Nothobranchius furzeri: one gene and its partners. The protein of the gene in region 1 purifies or fractionates together with the protein of each later gene. This does not show direct contact. Links are inferred from orthologs where the notes say so. Each region holds a gene or a part of one and is shown on either strand. Other genes may lie near its edges.

Region 1 (6,936 bases):
AAGATGCCCAAATTTGTATTTGCGACTCGCCGAACGGCATTGAATTCACAGATAAAAAAGATGTGGGTTCAACTTTCATTTTGGAACAATTTTTCAAGCAAGGGAAGGGAATGATCTGAGCATGCAGGAGGACTGACCCATCATAAACCTTTGTCGGCTGTGCTGAAGAGAAAGCTACAGAACCAAATTATTTAATTAATTAGCTGCACGTTCTCCTGTCCTCTGTCCTCCGGGCCACACACACACACACACACACACACACACACACCACACACACACACACACACACACACACACACACACACACACACACACACACACACACACACACACACACACACACACACACACACACACACACACACACACACACACACACACACACGGGACTGTCTCAGCTGTTATTTTCATTAAGGAGTGTGCACGTACAGCATGTGCACCTCGTGCACGAGCCTACTATTGAAGCTGCTGTTATGCTTTTGGCCTGAGGGGGCAATCGCAAGCATAAAAATTCAAAAGTCCGTAAAGTCCCTTTAAACTAAGGTTTTCTCTTTCTCACATCAGTCTTTAGCTCCACCCAATATGAGCAGATCCAGCTGTGTGATGACATCACGGTGTCTTTGCTCTGCATTCAGATGTGGATTCAAACTTGCACAGTGAGCAGGTACACACACATGCATACACTCTCACACACACAATGTAAGTTTTTGCTTATCGAACCGACTCGATGACGAAACGTTTTCAGCTCACAGCAAAACATTTTGAACAGAGTTTTAAAATAAAGTAGAATCTGACCTGTTATTTGTTCGTCTGCAGCAAATTCCTGTCTGATCTGAGTGATGATGCCATCCTCCTGCTGCTCGAAGAGGCCGTCTGCCAACTAGCTCACAGCTCAGATGCTGCGGTGGGTGGAGCCTCCATCAGACTCATCCTTCTAATGGCCAGAGGGTTGGAGCTCCGCCTCCCGTCCCTCAAGCTGAACTTTAAAGGTCAGAGGTCAAACATGTAGACTTTCAGTGGGTGACAATGAGGCCCTATCCCAATACTCGCACTTCCAACCTTGCACCCTTCAATTTTGCGCTCCAGCCAGGGGCTCCGAGGTGTCCAGATCCCCAAGTATGGAAATTGGCCACGCCCCCTTTTGCACACTTCGCCCAAGTTGATGCGGATTTGGATGAAGGATATTACCCACATTCCATTGCTGCATGGGAATTTTTATGACAGCAGTAGCTCAGGAGGTTGAGTGGGTTGTCCAGTAATCGGAAGGTTGCAGGTTCGAACCCAGCTCTGGACAGAGAAATCTGCTGTTGTGTCCTTGGGCAAGACACTTAACCCTCCTTACCTGCTCGTGGTGGTCGGAGGGACCGTCGGTGCCTACTCTCGGCAGCCTCGCCTTTGTTGGTGCGCCCCAGGGCAGCTGTGGCTACATCGTAGCTCATCACCATCCGTGTGTGAATGGATGAATGATGCACTGTAGTGCAAAGTGCTTTGGAGTCCTCTGACTCTGAAAAGGCGCTATACAAGTGCGGCTCATTTATCATTTATAAGAAGGCGGAACGATGTTTGTTTCAAAGTTGTTAATAAAGATTTTTTTTAAGTAGCAGAAACAGTGACCAGCTTGCGGTGCGGTCGATGACTCAACTGTTTGCACACTTGTGTACTACACACTCGAAGCCTTACTGCGCACTTGCTGAAGACCGTAGGGCGCAGTGCGAGCAGTGAGATTGGGCCTGTGTGGTCACATGAGTTCTGTCTCTGTAGGTCTGGACAGACTACTGGAGAAAGATTGGAGGGGGCGGGGCTTTGACCAGGATGTTGATCAGCTGGTAGCAATCATCCAATCAGAAAAGCCTGTGACTAACCAGTTGGAGGTTTGTTGGCACTTTAATAATTCATTTATATAATAAAAATGTCTACATTCTTAGCAACTTTAATGATTCATTTGTAGTGTGAAGATTTTAAAGAAATATTGGGGTTTCATTTAGAAAATGTTTCAGTGTAAGCTTTTCTTATTGTGCCATTTTAAAAAGATTTTTGTGATTTCTATAGTTTGAGAGTCCTATTTATCTTTTAGAACACGTTCTTTTGTTTGCTGTATTAGAATAGAAAATAAAATAGAAAATCCCTTCATTGCCCTCAGTTCTCCAGTTGTAAAGGCTTTACAGCTGGAGAATATTACATTTTGTTCAAGATGTGGTTGAATACATAATTAGACATTTTTACAAAAATCATATTGAAAGAACAGAAACTCCTCTTCTATTTCTGGTGCATCAAAATAAAATACTTTGAACTTTTATAATAACGTTTTATATAATGAACTTTTGTTGACAGAATGAAACCACTGCAGCTGTAACATAGAACCGTTCTGTTAGAGTCACTAAAGGAAAAGGTGGAAGAGACAATCAGACTCAGGCAGCAAACACTTTCTGTCTAAAGGAGAGCACTGAGCGTGTGCGAGCCGCGAGTGTGATCCAGGCAACCTGGAGGTCATATCAGACCCGACGCAGAGTGAAGAACCTCAACAGAGCTGTGAGCATGCTGCAGAGGAGATACAGGTACAACTTCCTGTTTGGAGAAGATACAGGTAACAACTTCCTGTTGTAGAGGATATACAGGTAACAACTTCCTAATTGGAGAAGATACAGGTAACAACTTCCTGTTGTAGAGGATATACAGGTAACAACTTCCTGTTTGGAGAAGATACAGGTAACAACTTCCGGTTTTAGATTATATACAGGTACGACTTCCTGTTTTAGAGGGGATACAGGTAACAACTTCCTGTTTAGAGGATGTACAGGTAACAACTTCCTGTTTAGAGGATGTACAGGTACGACTTCCTGTTTTAGAGGAGAAACAGGTAACAACTTCCTGTTTAGAGGAGATACAGTTAACGACTTCCTGTTTCAGAGGAGATACAGGTAACAACTTCCTGTTTTGGAGGAGATACAGAAACTGAAACACCAGAACCATCTGGAGCAGATCAGATTAATCAGACATGATTACACCAACTAGCAGGAATATAACCGGTAGTTCTTAATCATTAAAATCTGAATTCACCTGTGGTCCAGGTGTTTACTCCAGCTAGTGGTTATGTGGTGTTGTTTGGGTTTCTTTGTTTTTTGTTCATTTAGGCTTGTTATATCCAAGAAACCAAGTATTTTTTATTCAACAGTGTGTTGTAGAAGAAGCTGGAAGACTTGTCAGTTGAATAGTTTACTGGTGCAAATAAAATAACTTTTCCACACACTTTTCACCTGCCTGACTGGTGGGTTGATGCAGAGAGCACTTTGTTTGAAGTTTCTGGAAATAAATCCACTAAAGTGTGTGTGTGTGTGTGTGTGTGTGTGTGTGTGTGTGTGTGTGTGTGTGTGTGTGTGTGTGTGTGTGTGTGTGTGTGTGTGTGTGTGTGTGTGCGTGCATGTGTGTGTTAGGTCTCGAAAGAGGCATGAGCAGGAGCAGCAGGAGGCGCAGCGGCAGAAGGAGGAACTTAAGTATCAGGTAGAAGTTTTAGTTTTTAACACAGAAGTGTTATTCTTCCCTGATAAGAAGATGACTGTTGGAGATACTTTAAGTTTAAGTCAGATCCACCATGTAACAGCTGAGCATTTGTCTTGTGAGCCTCCTCACAGTCTGGTTGATGTTGTAGGTGTGTGTGAGGCGACAACAGGCCAGGAGGAGCTTCCACCAGAGACAGTTACAACTGCTGCAGCTGCTGCCTCCTGGTAAATAAACCTGGTCTGTTTCTCTCAACTACAGGAGGACCTCTCTAGGTTTTATTTACTGTTGTTGTTTGGTTTTCCCTGTGACACAAACTTTTTATATAACTGGATTTTGATGATCCTAGTAGTTAGAAACATGTTTAGTACTAAGAAATGTATCAGAGCCGTTTCCAGGACTGGTTCTGAGCAGCATAATTATGTTCTTTTTTTAACACAGGAAAGGATGTTTTACCTTTTGGCTGACAGTTTCGACCACACCTGCAGTCTTCTTCAGAGCTAGCCGCTGTGGCTAGCTCTGAAGAAGACTGCAGGTGTGGTTCCTAATAATGAAATCAGAAGAAACACACAGTAGGATTACACAAAATAGGGTTTGGATCTGGTGACTAAATTCATTCAAATTAAAGTTAAGTTTGTTTTACATGAGATTATTTAAAATGCAGATTATCCTATATCAGAAACACTCATATTTTAATCCCTCTGTAAACATGTGTGTGTGTGTGTGTGTTTTCAGAGCAGGTGCAGCCATACCTGGAAGAGTGTAAGCGTCGAGCCGCCATTGTGATCCAGAGCTTCTGGAGAGGCTTCAGGGAGAGGAGACGCTACAAGAACACACTGAGACACGCTCTGAGGCAGAAAGACATACAAGAGCAGGCTGCTAGGACGCTGCAGAGAGCTGTAATTACACACACACACACACACACACACACACACACACACACACACAAAGACAGGTCTTAATTCAGGAGCTCCTAGTGAAATCTGTTTGAGTCACTCCTCTCTCCTTTTTACCCCTTCAGGTGCGACGTTTTTTAGGAAAACGTGCACCAGCAAAGGTCCCATTCCTTGTCCCTCTCTGGATTGGTCAGGAAGGTTTGACAGACAGCCGGAGGGCGGAGCTACAGCAGCAGGTGGACAATTACATTTCTGTTCACCGGGTGAGAAGATGCTGATGCTTATAAACTAAAATCTGAGAGATATAATCAAACATTTAATTGTCATGTCCGGTGATTTTGACTCCGTGTATGTGTGTGTGTGTGTGTGTGTGTGTGTGTGTGTGTGTGTGTGTGTGTGTGTGTGTAGTCATCTCGTGTGTCTCCTGAGGAGTGTGTTTCCCTCCATCAGGAGGTGCAGCTGCTCCTGCAGGCGGAGCTGCAAAGAGGAGATTATTACAGAAGAGAGGAGCAGCGGGTGGCAGCTGTCCTGGCGTGTACGCACACACAGTTGGAGCTGCTCCGAGGTAACACGCCCATATCATCTTCTTCTGTTTTTATTTAGGTCGTGCTGACACTCAAACACGAAAACTCAACAATCAAACCTGTAGAGAACATTTCATCTGTGGGTGCAGCTCCATGGGCCCTCTAGTGGTGTGGAGGCTGCACATCTGGATCCAGCTGTTGATCAGTCTGTATTGCTCCTTGCAGATGCCCCGCCCCTTTCTGTTGTCACGGAGGTGCAGGCTAACTCCTTTCTGAGCCCGTCAGCTTCCATTGCCGCTCAAGCGCGCGACGCCCAGAACGCAGTGCTGCAGGCGAGCCGGCTGCCCTGGTGGAGGATGCTGGGAGAGCTGGATGCTGGTGTAGGGTCTTGCCACGCCCACCTGCAGGAGCTAGAGGCGGAGCTTGGAGGATTGTTTATAGTAGGTCCAGCAAAGGACAGTAAACTCTCTGAGGTGGATTGAGTCCAGCTTTAACCTGAAACCTGATCCGAAGGGACTGAAATCAAAACCAGAACTTTTTTTATAAAGCTCCACCTTTACCAACAGGGGCACTCACCAAATCTGTCTCAAGGGACCCAGATGGACCAGAACTGAAAAATCAGAGAGTGCCTCATTCATTTATAAGTATACAAACAAGGCACTGTACCTGTCAATCCACACTCAGGGTGAAATAACACAGTCCACAAGAATGGATCACATTCTGACAATAAAAGGTTTGTCAGAAACGGCTGTTTATTTATCAATGATCACATGAGAACCAGGATGTCTCAGATCCTCCTCCTGCAACAGGATTACAGGCCGGAGAGGTCTGAAGCGACACAACATCTTTCATAGGCTTCAGGTTAGAAAACACAAAGGAACAAACAGCTGTTATATAACTTCTCAGAAAATACCTAAAACCTTTTTATGGCGTAAAACGATGGGACTGGATGTAAAACCTAAGGATCTGTAATCTAGACCAGTTTAATAATCTGTGGTATGCTGTATAGACCCCCCCCCCCCCCCCCCCCCGTGATTTGTCCTAAGGAGACAAACTGATCCAGATGACCCTGTTGGATGATGCAGTTGAAGTGCTCTTCGTACATCAGCAGAGGGAGCTCCTGCACATAGCAGCAGCCTGATGATGATGAGGAGGAGGAGGAGCATCAGGAGGAGGTGCAGAGGTTTTTAAACTTTCATGTGAGTCAGGAACCAGCTGCTGCAGCCGGATGCTTGTGGAGCTTTATGTGGAGCAGCAGATCGATCACGCTGATTATTGATTGGAGCTCAGCTGATGTTACATAAACAGCTGTTGGAGGGAAGCAGCTGCAGCAGGTAGGAGCTTCGTGGACTTTCAACACTTTACAGAAGCTTTTCCCACCAGGATCGGAGCAGCTTCTTACAAGCAGGTTGTTCTTAGTTTGGTTTCATTAGAACAATAAAGTTATTTGAATTTTTAAAGAGAGAAACTAAGCAGAAGCTTCAGGTTTCAGGAGAGCATCACAGCAGCTGTGTGTCTCGCAGGTTAAGAAGAAGACAACAGGGAGGATTTCCCTTCCTCCTCCACCTGTTCCAAGACTCATCCCAGTGATGCCGGGGACTCTCCCCAGATTTCCCAGCATGCCGCGGGGGGTGACCATGCCGGCCCTGGTCAGTTCTCTGCCCCGAAGCATCAACCCCCCCAGCCTTCCCCGAGGAATCACCATGCCCAGTCTGCCCACTCTCCCCAGCTTTCCCAGCATCCCCCGGGGCCTGACCATCCCCAGCTTGCCCAGGGTCATCGTCATGCCGACCGTACCTGAAGCTCCTCGACGGCTGCTGCAGGACTGCTGCTCCGTGTTCGACCACCAAACCTCAGGAGGTGACTCTCTCTCTTCTTCTGTGTTTTATTAGATGCTGTTGGTCCAGATAGTGCAGAGGAAACCTCCTAACGCAGTCTGGTTTCCTTATTAGTGTGAATAATTTCTGGTTAATCTCCACAATCTGAGACGTAACCAGCAGCTGGAGCTCAGGTGGATTTTA
Region 2 (7,483 bases), on another chromosome or scaffold:
AAAACGCTGGAGGAAGAAGCCTCATTGAGTGAGCAGTGAGAGATCAAACAGCGAGAAGAGGCCAGGTGGGGGGTTGCTGTGAGGGTACTCACTGGAAGTGACAGACAGGAGGACCTATAATACTGAGGGATGGTCATTTTGAAATGACTGAAGTGGTTGAACTGACACAGAGACAGAGAGCAGAGTGGGATGATTCAAAGTGAGCAACAAGGAAAGTCGTGAGCGGGAGGGACACAGCTGCTAGGAAAATAACACAGGAAGCCCAGGAAGAGAGCGTCAGCTAAAAAGGAAGCTCACAAGGAGAAAAAAGAGCCAGGAGACCATAGGTCTTCATTGTTCAAGCTGATCAAAAGCTGAGTCTGATTTCTGTCCCCGTAGCTTCATAGTGCTTATTCTCTGATGTATATAAACAGAAAAAAAGCCACGTCAAACCAGATATCTGATATTTTGTGTAGCTTTGTTGTTTCTGTGTAACAAAGCTGATAAAAATGACATAAGGTCATGTGACCAGCCACAGCCAGTCATGCTACAGCAGCATTTAACATGTTGTTGCTTTTAAGTTAAGGTACAGAAAATCCACATGAAAGAAATTGTCCAGCCTGAGTAGGAACACGGTTGTAAAGGACAAGACTGAGCACTCACCTGGTGAACAAACACATTGTTAAGGTGATTGGTGAGGCGGCGAGCAAACGTGTCTCTCAGCTCAGCAAACAGAAGCTGCTGCTGCCTCACAGCCATCAGCTTTTCATGACCTGAAGGAAGTAACGTACACTTTCATTTGATTGAACACTAAAAAAAAACTACAAAGTCAATTTATTTCTGCAGAAGTTACTCAATACCTGGCCGCAGAGCCACGCTCATGCACTGCAGCAGAGCTTCAGAAGCATTGATGCAGGCCTCTATCCCTTTAGGGGAGGTGAGGTCTCCTTCCTGCAGAGCCCTGATGTGCCCCTTTGACAAATCCATGTAGTTCTACAGGAGGAGAGAGGAACCAGAGTCATCTAACAACACACTGTGACTCAGTGTCACACACACACAACTGTGTGTTATAGCGCCTCACCACTAAGAACTGGATCTCATCCAGCAGTTTGTTATTGTTGGTGTTGCTGATCTGGATGAGACGGTTGCTCTGGGAGATCTGATCCATCTGATCCTTGACGCTCTGGAGCATCTCCTCGTAGCTGCTCAGCTTTCCCTCAATGGTGTCCACCTCTGTCAGAGCTTCATCCAGCAGCTGCATCAGGATATTGACCTGCTTCTCTGATGCCATGATGGACTGGATGTTGGCCTTTAGGAAGACACAGATCCAGAGATGCCTTTTTGGTTAACTCATTAACTGCTATTGACGACTAAAGTCATCATTTTAAATCCAACCGCTCGCTGCCATCAACAACTAAAGTCATCAATTGCATTTTATTACTGGGCAGGTGTGGGAACAAGCCCCCACACCGTGAGAACAAACATCCCGGCTCCAAAGCTGATCTTCAGCCGCTCATGTCACACACCACCTGATCAGAAAATCCATGTATTAGGAGACCGTTTTGGGCCGCCGCTGTGATAAAGGTGAGGTGGGAACCGGAGAAGCATCTGCCATGACGACGGATTATGAAAGAACAGATAACTCTAGAAACACGCGGATCCGTCCTGATGTGGGAAGTGAGTCTACCCTTTGTTTTGGTGATCTTGGAGTTGATTTCATCATTGAGCACAACGTTCTGTGACTCTTCAAAAAACCGTTAAAACGCTCAAAACCACTGGCAGCGAGAGGCTTTTCTGATCCGGAAACTGCTGGCAGTTAATACGTTAATGATTTGGGTTTTCTGAGAAACTAGCAAAAAAAAAAAAAAAGAGAGCGTCAGTGACTGCTTCGCTCACCCCGTCTAAAACTTGCAGCTCCTTGAAGAGCTTCTCTGCAAAAGCTTCGGCGTTAGAGATCGCGTACTCGCACGTCTCCATCATGCTCTCAATGTCCTGCTCCTCACGAGTGCTGAGCTCTTGGTAGTCATCCAGGGCATCCTCGTCGCCTCCGGCAACACTCTGGCTCTCACCGCTCGGCACCGACTCTAAGTCCATGAAAATAAGTGAAATTAGGAATACAGATGATAATACCAGAAGCACTGCCATTGTTGTCAGATTATTTTTTATTATTTCTTTGATTTAAATAAATAGAATCAAAGGTATTTAGAGTTTAAAGAAATGCTACTAAAGGCCGTAAAATCTCATTTATTACCGACATCTGATGATAATGTAGCAGGGATATGAACACAAAATGAAAACCAATCTCAGGCAGTGGCATGAGGTCAAAAAGCACATACATGAGCTAAATTTTATTTAGTGTTTATTATTAGACTATGACTATTTTAATACATAACATGTAGAAGAGGTGAGCATAAACTATGTGTACAGTGCACTAATGCCACAAAAAAATTAAGTCATGACTTAATGTGGAATAGATAGAATAGCTGAACAACCTAAGTTTGTGTTACAGTTGATGTTATAATTATCATTAGTATTATTATGTCCTCCATGTTTAATTACATGATTTAAATCACAGGAAATGCAGGAAAACTAGAATCTTTGATGAAAATGGTGGCTTGGGGTCATGAACAGTATAATGAAGAGGTAGGAGGAGGGATCAAGCGGAAAGTTTATTCCTACCAACCTTCAGCTTTAGGAAGCTCTGGCCACAGAAAGATCAAGAGAAAAAGAGTGAGAATAAAAAAAGAACTTAACAAAGAAAACTACTGACACAAACCAACATACAAAGAAGAGGCTTTCAGTTTTAAAAACATGCTACCTGTAAATAAAATCTACCAAATTATGGAGGTATACACATTACACATGCAAAAGGTTGTAGAGTTGTAGAGCTTGAGGGGAAAAGATGCATCTTTAAAGAATTACAATTAAGTTATAGTAAGGAGCATGCAGACTCTGAGCTGGCTGAAGTTTTAGCATTTACCCACCTTCAAGGAGCTGAGAGTTGACGTTGACAAACTCCAACTTCTTCCTTAGATAACGCTGGTTCAGCTTCCAGATACAGGAAATGAAGGAGTTTTTTTCAGCTGTGCTGCTAGCCAACCATCGGTAAACCTTCTCAAAATGAAGATCAAACTCTGGGTTTTCCTACAACGTAAACAGAGCATGCATCAGTCCTAACTGCAGAGTGCTGAACCAATAGGGGACGCCATGACAGACCGTGTGACCTCTAACCTTGCTTGCATCTTTGGCATCTACTACTGTCAGGTCTCGGAGCTCCCAGGTCTGCTGTCTCTTATAAAAGTCCCCCTTGTCAGATTTCTTCACCTTAACCACTTTAACCTGGACTGGCCTCTCTGTGGTAACTGGAAAAAAAGTCCTTTTATCATGAATGTTCTTTACAGGAGCTTCCGCAGCTTTCACACACATACCTGTAGCACACAAGAAGCAGTTTTTCTTTTTCTTTCCCGCCTTGCAGACATTAACTATGCCGAGAAGACGCTCGTCGTTGGGTGTGAAGATGTCCCTCTGGAGAGCGTGCTTTATGGCTGTCATGGTGGATCGTACTGTCATACAGAACAGAACAAGTCATGAATCTGATCAACGCAAGACGTATCTAGTGTTCGGTTCGTGATTTCCAGTTAACAATAAAACACATATTCAGAGTAGGAACTCAGAATGAAGTGGGGAGGGGGGGGGGGGCGGATGAGTGATTCAAACACCACCAACATTACAGAGAGCGAGGCCCTTCAGAGAACACAAGAACCAAACTTCAAAAATATCAGACGTTTCACGGAAAAACATTTAGAGATTCAGCAAAAAATCCCTAAAAGTTATATCAAGTCTTGATTTTTTTCCTTTGCTATCGAAAAATTCTTTAGTCGTTTATTTAACCCAATTTGACAGTTTTTAGCAGCACAGGAAAAGGTTACTGACTGGTGCTTTTGCAGACTGCACTGTTTACTGTTTAACGTATACATAAAGCCGGAGATTGAATCTGAGAGACTATCGTAGTAAATGTTTCTATTAAGCAATAACAAGCTACCAAACCCCGAATTAAAGGGTTCTGAAGCAACTTAGGTCGTGTATGTGGTACAGAATCAGCACTAGTTCCTATAAAAACGTTGTCCTCTCTCCGGTTAGATATTAGTCCTAGGCTAGCATTGCTAAGCTATCGACGATCAGCAAAAACTGCCCAACGTGCATTGTAGCTACATTCACAAATGACTCTACATTGCGTGTTTAGATATCGTAATCAAAATATTCTATAAATATTGAAAATAGTATAGATTTTACGTAGCATTTACCTTATTTTCATCCGCTGCAGCCCTTCAAAGCACCGCCCTCTCACTTCCTGCTTCTCGGCCACAGCTGTCATGTGACAACCCAAAGGCCACGCCCACTGGAAATACTAAACCCATTTTAATGATAGTTTTTTTTAAAAGTTATTGGTCATTTTCAGTAATGTGCGAAATTCTTGGAACGAATTTAACTTATTTAAAGCAGTAACTGAACAACGTGTAAGAGCCAACCCTGAACTGAATCTATTGCTGCTAGGAGCCAGGTCAGTGCTTCTGTGCACTACTACACCTTTACAGTTACAAGTTACTTCTGACACCTTAACATGGGCCTCTGTTTACATTTAGATTAATTTGACTCAATAATTTACTTGATATTTTAGATATATTATTACCATGTTTACTTTTATACTTTCACATTATGCGCCTGAATGCGTGTATGTGTGTGTGTGTGTGTGTGTGTGTGCGTGCGTACGTGCGTGCGTGCGTGTGTTAGATGATGTTGCCCCTTTAAAAAAGAAGGTAATTAGGGATAGGCGGTTGGCTCCCTGGTTTGATTTTCATTTACGAACTTTAAAACAAAACTCTAGAAAATTGGAGAGAACACGGTGCTCTACACACCAGGAGGAGTCCTACTTATCCTGGAAAAATAGTCTTGTGCTTTATAAAAATAAGCTTCGACAAGCTAGAACTGCTTATTTTTCAGCGCTAATTGAGGAGAATAAGAATAATCCAAAATTTATTTTCAGTACAGTTGCCAAACTTACACAAAATCATAACTCTGAACCATCGATTCACTCAGCAGTAACAACTTTATGGAATTTTTCACAAGTAAAATTAATTCCATTAGAAACAAAATCTTTAGCATCCTCCCTAATGTGATTTCTTCTTCCTCAGTAAGTGAGGCAGCATCAGAGGTAACTGTAGAACCTCATCTGTGTTTGAACCGTTTTGATCCAGTTGAGCTTTCAGAGTTATCAAAAATATTAGCTTCATCTAACTTCAACTTGCAATTTAGATCCAATCCCAACCAAATTATTTAAAAATGCAATTCCTTTGGTTACTGCCCCCTTTCTAGGTATAATCAGTCTATCCTTAGTAAATGGGTATGTACCACAGGATTTTAAGGTTGCTGTAATCTAACCTTCACTTAAGAAGCCTTCTCTGGATCCAGATGACCCAATGAATTATAGACCAATATCTAACCTTCCATTTTTATCCAAAGTCCTGGAGAAAATAGTGGCCATCCAAGTATGTGAGCATTTAAACACCAATGCTCTGTTTGAGGAATTTCAGTCTGGTTTTAGAGAGTATCACAGCACTGAAACTGTATTAGTGAAAGTTACAAATGATATTCTCATGGCCCCAGATAAGAATCTCAATCAATCAATCAATCAATCAATCAATCAATCAATCAATCAATCAATACTTTATTAATCCCAGAGGGAAATTAGAGTTTCAGTACACACAATTCAGAGATCAGACATACATGGGCAAGACACATGACAAGAATTGGTAACTGTGGTCATTCGCAACCCGAGTTGGGCTACCTTAATAGAGATAAGAGGGTTACATGAGAGTTGGATCAGGTGGAGACTCCAATAGGAAGGCGGGGGGGGGGGGGGCTGGGATCCTGATTCCCCCAGCGGAAGCAGCCATCCACGGCGGTCATCTGCTGTACAGTCACAGGTGGGAGGGAGATCTTGGGAGAAGCGAAGAGCACATTGTCTCCAGCAGATTGATGACCTTGCCAGGTTGAAGTCCACCAATCCAAAGGCGGGGTGGGGGGTGGGGGTGGGTGTCGGGTTTTTACAGCATCTGTCTGCATTCCTTCGTGGGGGTTTGTTGCTTGCCGCTCAAGTAGGGATGGGTACCTTTGACATTTGAATCGATCCGGTACTAATTACCGGTACCTACGAATCGATACCGGTACTTAACGGTACCAATTTTCGATACTTTTGACTGTTTATTATTTTAATTCTCTTTTATAATTAAATATATTTTTTCTCAATATATAACAATATTTGATAAATATCACAATAAATAACATACAACTGTTTGTATTTTAACATCGTCCTTGTAGTTTTATAAGCTGATAATTAAACTGAAGCAAACATCTTTACTGTGAACTAAATTTACTGTGTATCTTTATTCCTTTTGCCGTCTTTTTTCATTTGATTTTTCCTACTGGGAAGTTAGAATTTCCGAGGAGAAAGCGAACGCACCATTAGCTGATAACAATGGTAGCAATGGAAGCTAAGATATCAAGCTAACAATATCTTAAACAGTTTATTTAGCTGCTGAAGCAGATTAAAACGATGATGCCTCACACTTAGATCGTCGCTGGTTTCGTCTTCACCCGTCACATTTAGTAACCTGAAGCCAAACTTTAGAGCGCGTTCATGTTGTTCTAGTCGGGAATTCAGAGTTTCGAGGAGAAAGCAAACGCACCATTAGCGAAACGGAAGCTAACATATCAAGCTAATTATATTTACCTACCGGAGCAGATTAAGATGAGGATGTCTCACTTAGATCATTGTTGCTGGTTTCATCATCACCCAGTTACCCATCACATTTAGTGAAGTGGACCCAAGCTTTAGCGTGTGTTCTTTCTACCCATGCTGCTCTGTTTACAACTGGTTCACAGCGAGCGACGTTAAAACGCTCTTGCTCATGCGCAGCTGTCTTGGCAAGTTCTCGTTATGATGGACGGGTACCGAAACGAGGCACCGTTTGAAATGACGTGAATCGGTGCTCGGTAGGTACTATGGAATTCGGTCGGTACCTTGAAAAGTACAGAATTCGGTACCCATCCCTATGCTCAAGGCTACCAGGGCGTCATATTCAGATAACATGACTTTGTTTGGGTCAGGCTGAGATTATTTTCCTCTCTGCCTTCAGTCTTTAAACTGATCATTCCAGTCCTTCAGTGAAGCCCATTTTGGGTTTTTAAACCTGTCCATACCGTCCGGTGACCCTCCGAGATGATATCCATTTTGCGCACTAATACCGGTATTGCGGCTAGAACATTGTCCAGCTTACGATTCACCTTGAGTAATGTCCCAGTCTGAGAAGTCTCCACACGAACGGTGCTTTCCGTGGGTGCGGGTCGCCCTCCAATCGCTCTCGTCTTCCCAAATTTCCAGAAAACCACATATCCTCCCACTCCAGTCAGGAGAAATCCAGTGATCATCAGGCCGAATATCCAC
Region 3 (6,936 bases), on another chromosome or scaffold:
TGTTTGTTCTGCAACACTGATGTTTTATCTCCACAAATAGCTCAAGCATGAAGTTCTGCTGTGTGGTGAAGTTGCTAATGCTAACAGTTAGCTTCTGCTAGCCCAAATGTGTTCTGCTCTCTCCTGGACACTAAACCAACAACAGCCCTTCCTGTCGTGAGCCAAGATGGGTCCATGAACGTTAGCTTTCAGTGTGACATAGATCTGTGAGGCTTTTCTAATCTGAGCGTTTTCCTGTTTAACACAAGTTTCTCTTCTGTTCAATCAATTTATCAAGCAATCCTGCTTTATATCTTCTACATCTATAGTCACTGATGAAGGTGCTACCATCTACAAATAGAAACTAACAAATAAAACAATAAAACAAGCAACACTGGTATTTGCTGGAATCCCCTACACAAGGACCCTGGCAGTTACCTGTAAGTCCAGTAATTGTCTCCTTAAAGCTTCTACTTCTGTATCTTTGGACTTCTGTCGGGCCTGCAGAGCAGACACCTGAGCCATCGCCACATCAGACACCTCCTGCAGCCTGTTAAAATAAACACACACACACACACACACACACACACACACACACACACACACACACACACACACACACACTTACACTATACATTTCTCTAAAGACGATCGTTAAAGTTTTTATTTGTAAAATCCACAACAACAGGAACAGATCATTCATGTTTCTAAAATATTGATGTTACTCCCTGCCCATGAAAAACGGTTGAATTTCAGTCATCATTCCTGTGAAAACATTCTTGTCTCTATAATCCATCACCAGGGTTGTGTTTGAAGATAGCGGAGTATCGGGACAGCGTGAAACGTACTTGGAGACTTCGAAGCGGAGCTCGGCCTCCGCCTTCTCCAGCTCTGAGATCCTGGCTCGATCTGCATCGCTCACAGCTTTGCTGACGCTGTCTGCCAACTCATCTCTTAGCTCCCGCTCGGTCTTCTGGGCCTCCGCATTCATCTTTGTGAGCTGAAGGAAAACAAAACCACAAAACTATTTGGTAAAAGAAAATATTAATAGATGAGAGGAGATCAAGCAGCCAAGGGTCAGCAATTATAAAGCGAACTGGTCTTTCCACACAGGCTGTGTGTGAGGTGAAACCCCGTTCTGCACCTGGAAATGTAAGATAGCACTGTCTGTATGTTTTCAGATGGACCAAAGCTCACTGTGATGCTGATGCCCACGCCTTTAGAGCCTGACAGAAGAAAACAAATCCTCCGTGATTTCTTTGGCGTCTTACTTCTGCAAACTTGGACTCCAGCTCGGCGTTGCGCTCCTCCACCTGTCTGAGGGAGTTCCTCGTGTGCTCGTACATTTTCTGGGCATGCTCGGCTCTCTGTCTCTCATTCAGCTCCTTCATCTCTGAGGTAGTGATTTGTCTTGCTGCAGATAGCATCTCGTTGTTGATGGACGCCTTGTCTGACTTGGCCATGCCAGGTTCCACACCTAACCAAAAATAAAACATCGTGTTCAGGGTGGAATCCACCAAACCAGGTCTGTGGCTGTGTCCATGTCAGACCTAGAGGTCTAAATGGAACTACTCTGACTCAGATGTGAGAGCTCTAGAGTAGCGCTGATGGCACCATTTGGTCGGAGCACAATGAAACATCATCCCAGTCAGAACAATGCTAGCCACAATACCATGAAGCTAAGGCTGTGATACTCATCTACTGCAACATGCTCAGGAGCGGGGTCTGACACCGTACAGATGTAAACAAACCTCTGTCCCACTTGAAGCCTGAGCCCCAGGCGGTGTCTCGTAGCATCACTAAAGCCCTGAAAATCTGCTGATTATAACAGTGATGGCATCAAATTATCCCTGTAAACAACTTTCTCTGAGCAATCCTGATTGCTGAATGTCTCGATTGTACTCGTTTCATGACACGTTTCTATAATCAAGGTAAACAAAACACCACACGCTGCTTGTTTACCAGCCGGGCCAGCGCTCTCCCACGCTTGCTCTAACGTGTTCAGTTTCTCCTTCGTGATCTCCAGTTCTTTAATCATGGAGGAGATTTGTTCTCGAAGGGAGTCGTTTTCACCCTAAAAGATGGAGCAAGTCCGTCAGCTACCAAACATAAGCTAACAGACATATTGAGTGAGTAACGGAGATACTTGGGTATTATATTAATACCTGTAAATGTTCGAGGTTGGTGGTTCTCTGTATGAGACAGCTGTCTCTCTGGAGCATGTCTCTGTATTTGACTGTTAGCTCGGTGTACTGCTTATTAGCCTTCTCCAGCTCTGACGCAGGGACGCTGTCATCCAAGGCCTTCTGCAGAGCAGACATCTTGTAAGCAGCCATTTCCTGTAGAAAACACAAGACATGAGGATAAAGTAGACCTGATGAGGGTTGAAATGTGTCTTTCTGAGGACACTGTACTCATATTTGTGATGGGACTAATTTCCAGTAAACAGATGAGGATAGAAGGGATGTTACATGTTTAAATACGTGGTTGGTATTTCAACTATCTGTCCTGGTAACTTTGACTTATTCAGCTAAAAAATAGTCAAAACCAATGAAGCTGATAAAAAAGACCTGGAGATGGACAAGAAAAACAAGGACTGGTACAAATACAGGCCCCATCAAAAGTATTAGACTACTTGAAAATCGGCCAAAAATCACATTTTGCAAGGTTGGATCTTAACAAGGTCCCACGTAGAGTTGAGACAGGAAGAAATACGAGTGAGGCAAAACATTTTCTGAGCAGCGATTTATTAAAAACAACACTTAAACTGAAACTGGTCGTTGTTTTATAGTTGATCAAAAGTTTAAGACCACAGCTCCCAAAAACACCCGTAACTCCTCCAAAACACTAACATCAAAGCTCCAAACAGCAGCTCCACCGTCGTCGTCAATCACTTCACAAATTTTTTGCACACGCTTGATGCAGTGGTTTCCATACGGGGAGTGGGAAACATTTCTCCAAGTGGTGAAGACGACTGCACGGAGGGCCTCTACTGTCAGGAACTGGTGTCCATTTTTGTAAATGTCCCTTGCCATTCATCCCCAATAAGCATTACAACAGCCTGTTTCAGTTTAAGCCTTGTTTACAAAACATAATGCTCAGAACATCTTCTGTCTCACTCCCATTTCTTCTCGTTACAAGTTGAAGCTCCACCTTGTTAGGATCCAACTATGCAAAATATGAGTTTTGGCCATTTTCAAGTGGTCTTAAGACTTTTGATCGAGACTGAAAGAATGCTCAGCGAGATGAGGAAAACAAACTCAAACCTTCACCCATGAACAATCTCTTCTTATCTGCATCTCATCTTTAGGTTACAGCCGAGTTAAAACTGACAAAGGTCGTGTTGACTGTAGTGTCCATTTACTCTCCCTGCGTTGTTTCTTTTACTTCTACTGGTGCTTTATTGCACTTAACAAATCAAAAGAAATAAAGAGAAGACTTCTGTTTTATGGCATTTACCATTGGGACAAAAGAACGGATCCAGATTTGATAAACGTCATCATATCTACATCTACAACGAATTAACTTTTGAATGGCCTCCGCAGCTACACCTTAGTGTCAATGGAAAAGATAAACAAGACTAAACTGAGTGGATTAGGTCCTGATCTCAAACTGGCACGTTAGTTGACTCTTACACAACACAAGCCCTGAGCTGTAACAGATCATGAGAGATTTCTGCAACATTAAATGAGACGAGAGTTGACGGGAACTTAGACACGAGAGGTGGAAAGTGATACGCACTTCTGCCTGGAATGTTCTAAAACTGTTCCTGGGCAGAGTGGGCGGACGCTGTGTTTGTTGGAAAGTTAAAGATCCAACACAAGTTGTGAAAAGTTTGGCTGGTTAAAATGTTTATTTGTGTAACGAACTGCTGGACCTGATGAACCAACCTTCGTGTCTAGTATTTTGTACTCTTATCGGCTGTGTCTGTGGATTTTGCTGCTGCAGGGATGAATGTTTTCTCCAGTCTTGATAAAAAGCAGACAGACATTAGCAGTTTTTGATAGAGAGGTTTATCTCTGTGTGTTCATTAGAGCACAATCTTGAAAGTGTGCAGAGCTCCTGCAGAGAGCAGACGGACTTGGGCGTCTGATGATAGCACATCTGCCCAACATTCCTGTGTCGTTCTCTGCGTCTGTAGAGCATTTACACACACCCTCCCGTACTACGACGGATGATGAATTCAGCACCTTTCACTGATAAATGTCTTCTTCCTCGTTGATGGTATGTGAAATTCATCCTAAACAGCTAAAGTTTGGACTCCTGTGACATACGTCTGATTGTCTTTCTGCGCATCTGGGATGAACCTGTGACCAAAGAAGTCAGCGGCAGGTTTGATGAATGGCTTCCTCCTTGTATGAGAAAGTTTCAGCAGCAGCAGACGGTGTTGAGTGACCGAGTTGTTTTGGTTATCCTGAACATATACAGCAGCACCTCTCTTTCTCACCCAGGATTCATGACCCGCCTGGTCTTTAAGGCTCTGAGATCCCCCTGACCTCCAGATTATCACACAGTCATTTATTCCTGGTGTTAAAACACTAAACTTATCTACAGATAGCTGAGAATGCCTTCAATTTGTTTTATGGTTGACTGTTATCTGGTGAAGTTTAGAACAAAGTGATTTGTCACAAACTACTCTTACATGGGAATGACGTGTTTTATTTCTGTGGATGCTCCTTTTACGGCTAACCGGTTAATCTCACAGTTTTTGCATCTCTCCTATAATCTTTTCTGTCTTGTTGGCATTATATAAAATATATAAAAACATTTCCTGTTATGTTTGTGCAAATACATGTTATTGAACAAAATAAAGTCTTTTAACTTTTCTGAAAGAGGTTCAACCTGTATTTGGACCCGTGGAAACTCAGCTAGAGGACTAATCATTAAAACCATAAAACGACACTAGAGCAGCGGTGGCCATCCTTCTAAAACAGATAATTAACTGACGTATTGGTAGAAATGAGAGTTTCTGCTTTATTGGATTTAAATATGGAGACAACCGTCTTCATGGTGCCTATCAGGTTTAGTGTGGACCTGCCCAGGTCCAACTGTAGTGTGGCTCAGTGGTTTGAGTCTCATGATCGACAGCTTTAAGCTTGGTTTATGCTTGACGCATTCACTTTCCGCTTGGTGATGCGGATGGAACGTGCTTCACAACTCGCAGCGTTTATGGTTCATGCGGCTTGTCTCTGCGGTAAGCCAATATTCTCCCAAACTGTAGGGGGCGGCATGGAGCTCTACACGCATGCATCCAACACTTCACCATAGTAGAAGTAAAAATTACTGTTGTTTACAACATGGCATTTCAGCATTTTTAACAGCGTCCTCGTCTTTTCCGACAGTGCGAGCTATTTCTCTCCAAGAATTATTAAAAACATGTTGATCACGGTGATCTTTGAGAGCTGAATCATACAAATGTCTGTATTTATGAACCTCTGCCATACTAGTTCTTGTCGGTCCACCATGTTTTTCTACGTCCGACCGTCCGCGTGGGTAGAAAATTTCCTAGGTGTGCAGTGCGGAAACTTTGGGCCTTGCGGAGGTGCGGTGGAGGGGCGTGGTTGTTAAAATGACGCAATTTTGCCGTGCGGACCTTGCGGATGCGTCAACCATGAACGGAAGTTACGGTGTAACTATGGTTCTGTGAGTTCCTGGATGACTGCCAGTAGCAGTAAACAGAGTGGACGTATCTCCTCGCGCTCTGCGCAGGTCGAGCACTAATGTAAACCAAGTCACGCACGTGACACGTAGCGCACCTGGTCGCGAGTCTATAAATTACGCGCCGATAGCTACGTTCAGGTCTCCCGGGATCTTCTCGCCCGAGAAGTTCCGAGTGACCCCTGTGACTGGCAGCCATCCAGGAACTCACAGAACCATAGTTACACCGTAACTTCCGTTCTGTTTCGTTCCCTCCTGACTCCCAGTGGCAGTAAACAGAGTGGATGACTCATGCCAGCAGTGTCACGAGGAACATAAAACTCACCTTCACTCAGGAGGTAGCCGCCAGAGGCAGCACAGCTGAAGCGAGTGTGGACCCGTGGCCAACGTTGAGGCGGTAGAAGCGTGCAAACGTGCACGGAGTTGCCCAGGACGCCGCAGCACAGACGTACGACAGTGGCACACCTCTCATCGCCGCCCAGGATGTAGCAACACTCCTGGTGGAATGGCACACGATCCCAGGGGGAGCCACTGCACCCACTGCCACATAAGCCATTGCAATGGCATCCACGACCCAATGCGACAGCCTCTGCTTCGAAAGGGCCCGACCCCTGTTCACTCCTCCGTGACTAACAGCTGGTTCGACTGCCGGACAGTGTTTGTGGCCACAATATAGAGCTGCAGTGCCCGGACCGGGCACAGCAAATTCGTCCGCCGTTGTTCCTCCGAATGAAATGGGGGAGGGAAATACGCCCCCAGCTCGATTGCGGCATTCACGTAGCCAGAGGGCAGAACTTTGGGAAGAAAGGCAACGTTGGGCCACAGCATCTCCCCCGACCCATCTGCCTTCACCGCAGGCAGGCGGGGCTGATGTCCAGTGAGTGCAGCTCACTGACCCGTTTAGCCGACGTCACTTCCAAGAGAAAGGCGGTTTTCACAGACACCACTGCCAACGGGGAGGTAGTCATCGGCTCAAAGGGCAGCCCACACAGGGCCTGCAGGACCAGGGGAAGGTCCCAAGCAGGTGCCGGCCTGCACAAGGCAGGACGCAACCTTCTCACGCCCCGCAGAAACTGGGTCACCAAACAGTGAGCCCCAATGCTCCTGCCATCCACCAAGAGGTGGTTGGCCGAAATAGCCGCCAGGTGTACCTAAAGGGTTAAGGCGGCCCGGCCCTTGTCAAACAGGTGCCGGAGGTATCACAGAACCTCATGCAGGGAACAAGAACCAGGGTCCACGTCCCTGCCGGAACACCAGGTAGAGAACCGCTGCCAACAGCGAGCGTACATGGCCCTTGTA

Evidence for each region.
Region 2: the proteins of IQ calmodulin-binding motif-containing protein 1 (region 1) and exoc1 purify together in Homo sapiens (affinity purification with mass spectrometry; 3 studies listed by BioGRID and IntAct, counting the BioPlex papers as one, with this or other methods). This does not show direct contact. The link is inferred for Nothobranchius furzeri from reciprocal best matches to the Homo sapiens genes IQCB1 and EXOC1.
Region 3: the proteins of IQ calmodulin-binding motif-containing protein 1 (region 1) and cep290 purify together in Homo sapiens (co-immunoprecipitation; 8 studies listed by BioGRID and IntAct, counting the BioPlex papers as one, with this or other methods). This does not show direct contact. The link is inferred for Nothobranchius furzeri from reciprocal best matches to the Homo sapiens genes IQCB1 and CEP290.

Annotation. Positions count from the first base shown.
Region 1 is NC_091743.1:82,552,145-82,559,080, reverse strand, and holds the end of IQ calmodulin-binding motif-containing protein 1, read left to right. Parts: intron 1-564; coding exon 565-664; intron 665-816; coding exon 817-989; intron 990-1,761; coding exon 1,762-1,871; intron 1,872-2,436; coding exon 2,437-2,555; intron 2,556-3,431; coding exon 3,432-3,498; intron 3,499-3,646; coding exon 3,647-3,722; intron 3,723-4,230; coding exon 4,231-4,394; intron 4,395-4,516; coding exon 4,517-4,654; intron 4,655-4,799; coding exon 4,800-4,956; intron 4,957-5,140; coding exon 5,141-5,397; 3' UTR 5,398-5,660; downstream 5,661-6,936. Other genes in the region: protein EFR3 homolog B, read left to right, coding at 6,505-6,775. UniProt on the Homo sapiens protein: Involved in ciliogenesis. The function in an early step in cilia formation depends on its association with CEP290/NPHP6.
Region 2 is NC_091748.1:40,498,316-40,505,798, reverse strand, and holds the start of exoc1 (exocyst complex component 1), read right to left. Parts: upstream 4,377-7,483; 5' UTR 4,284-4,376; intron 3,543-4,283; 5' UTR 3,532-3,542; coding exon 3,408-3,531; intron 3,342-3,407; coding exon 3,211-3,341; intron 3,124-3,210; coding exon 2,964-3,123; intron 2,681-2,963; coding exon 2,663-2,680; intron 2,064-2,662; coding exon 1,876-2,063; intron 1,289-1,875; coding exon 1,061-1,288; intron 973-1,060; coding exon 840-972; intron 753-839; coding exon 643-752; intron 1-642.
Region 3 is NC_091744.1:50,574,048-50,580,983, reverse strand, and holds part of cep290 (centrosomal protein of 290 kDa), read right to left. Parts: intron 2,319-6,936; coding exon 2,145-2,318; intron 2,054-2,144; coding exon 1,942-2,053; intron 1,457-1,941; coding exon 1,251-1,456; intron 980-1,250; coding exon 828-979; intron 530-827; coding exon 418-529; intron 1-417. UniProt on the Homo sapiens protein: Involved in early and late steps in cilia formation. Its association with CCP110 is required for inhibition of primary cilia formation by CCP110.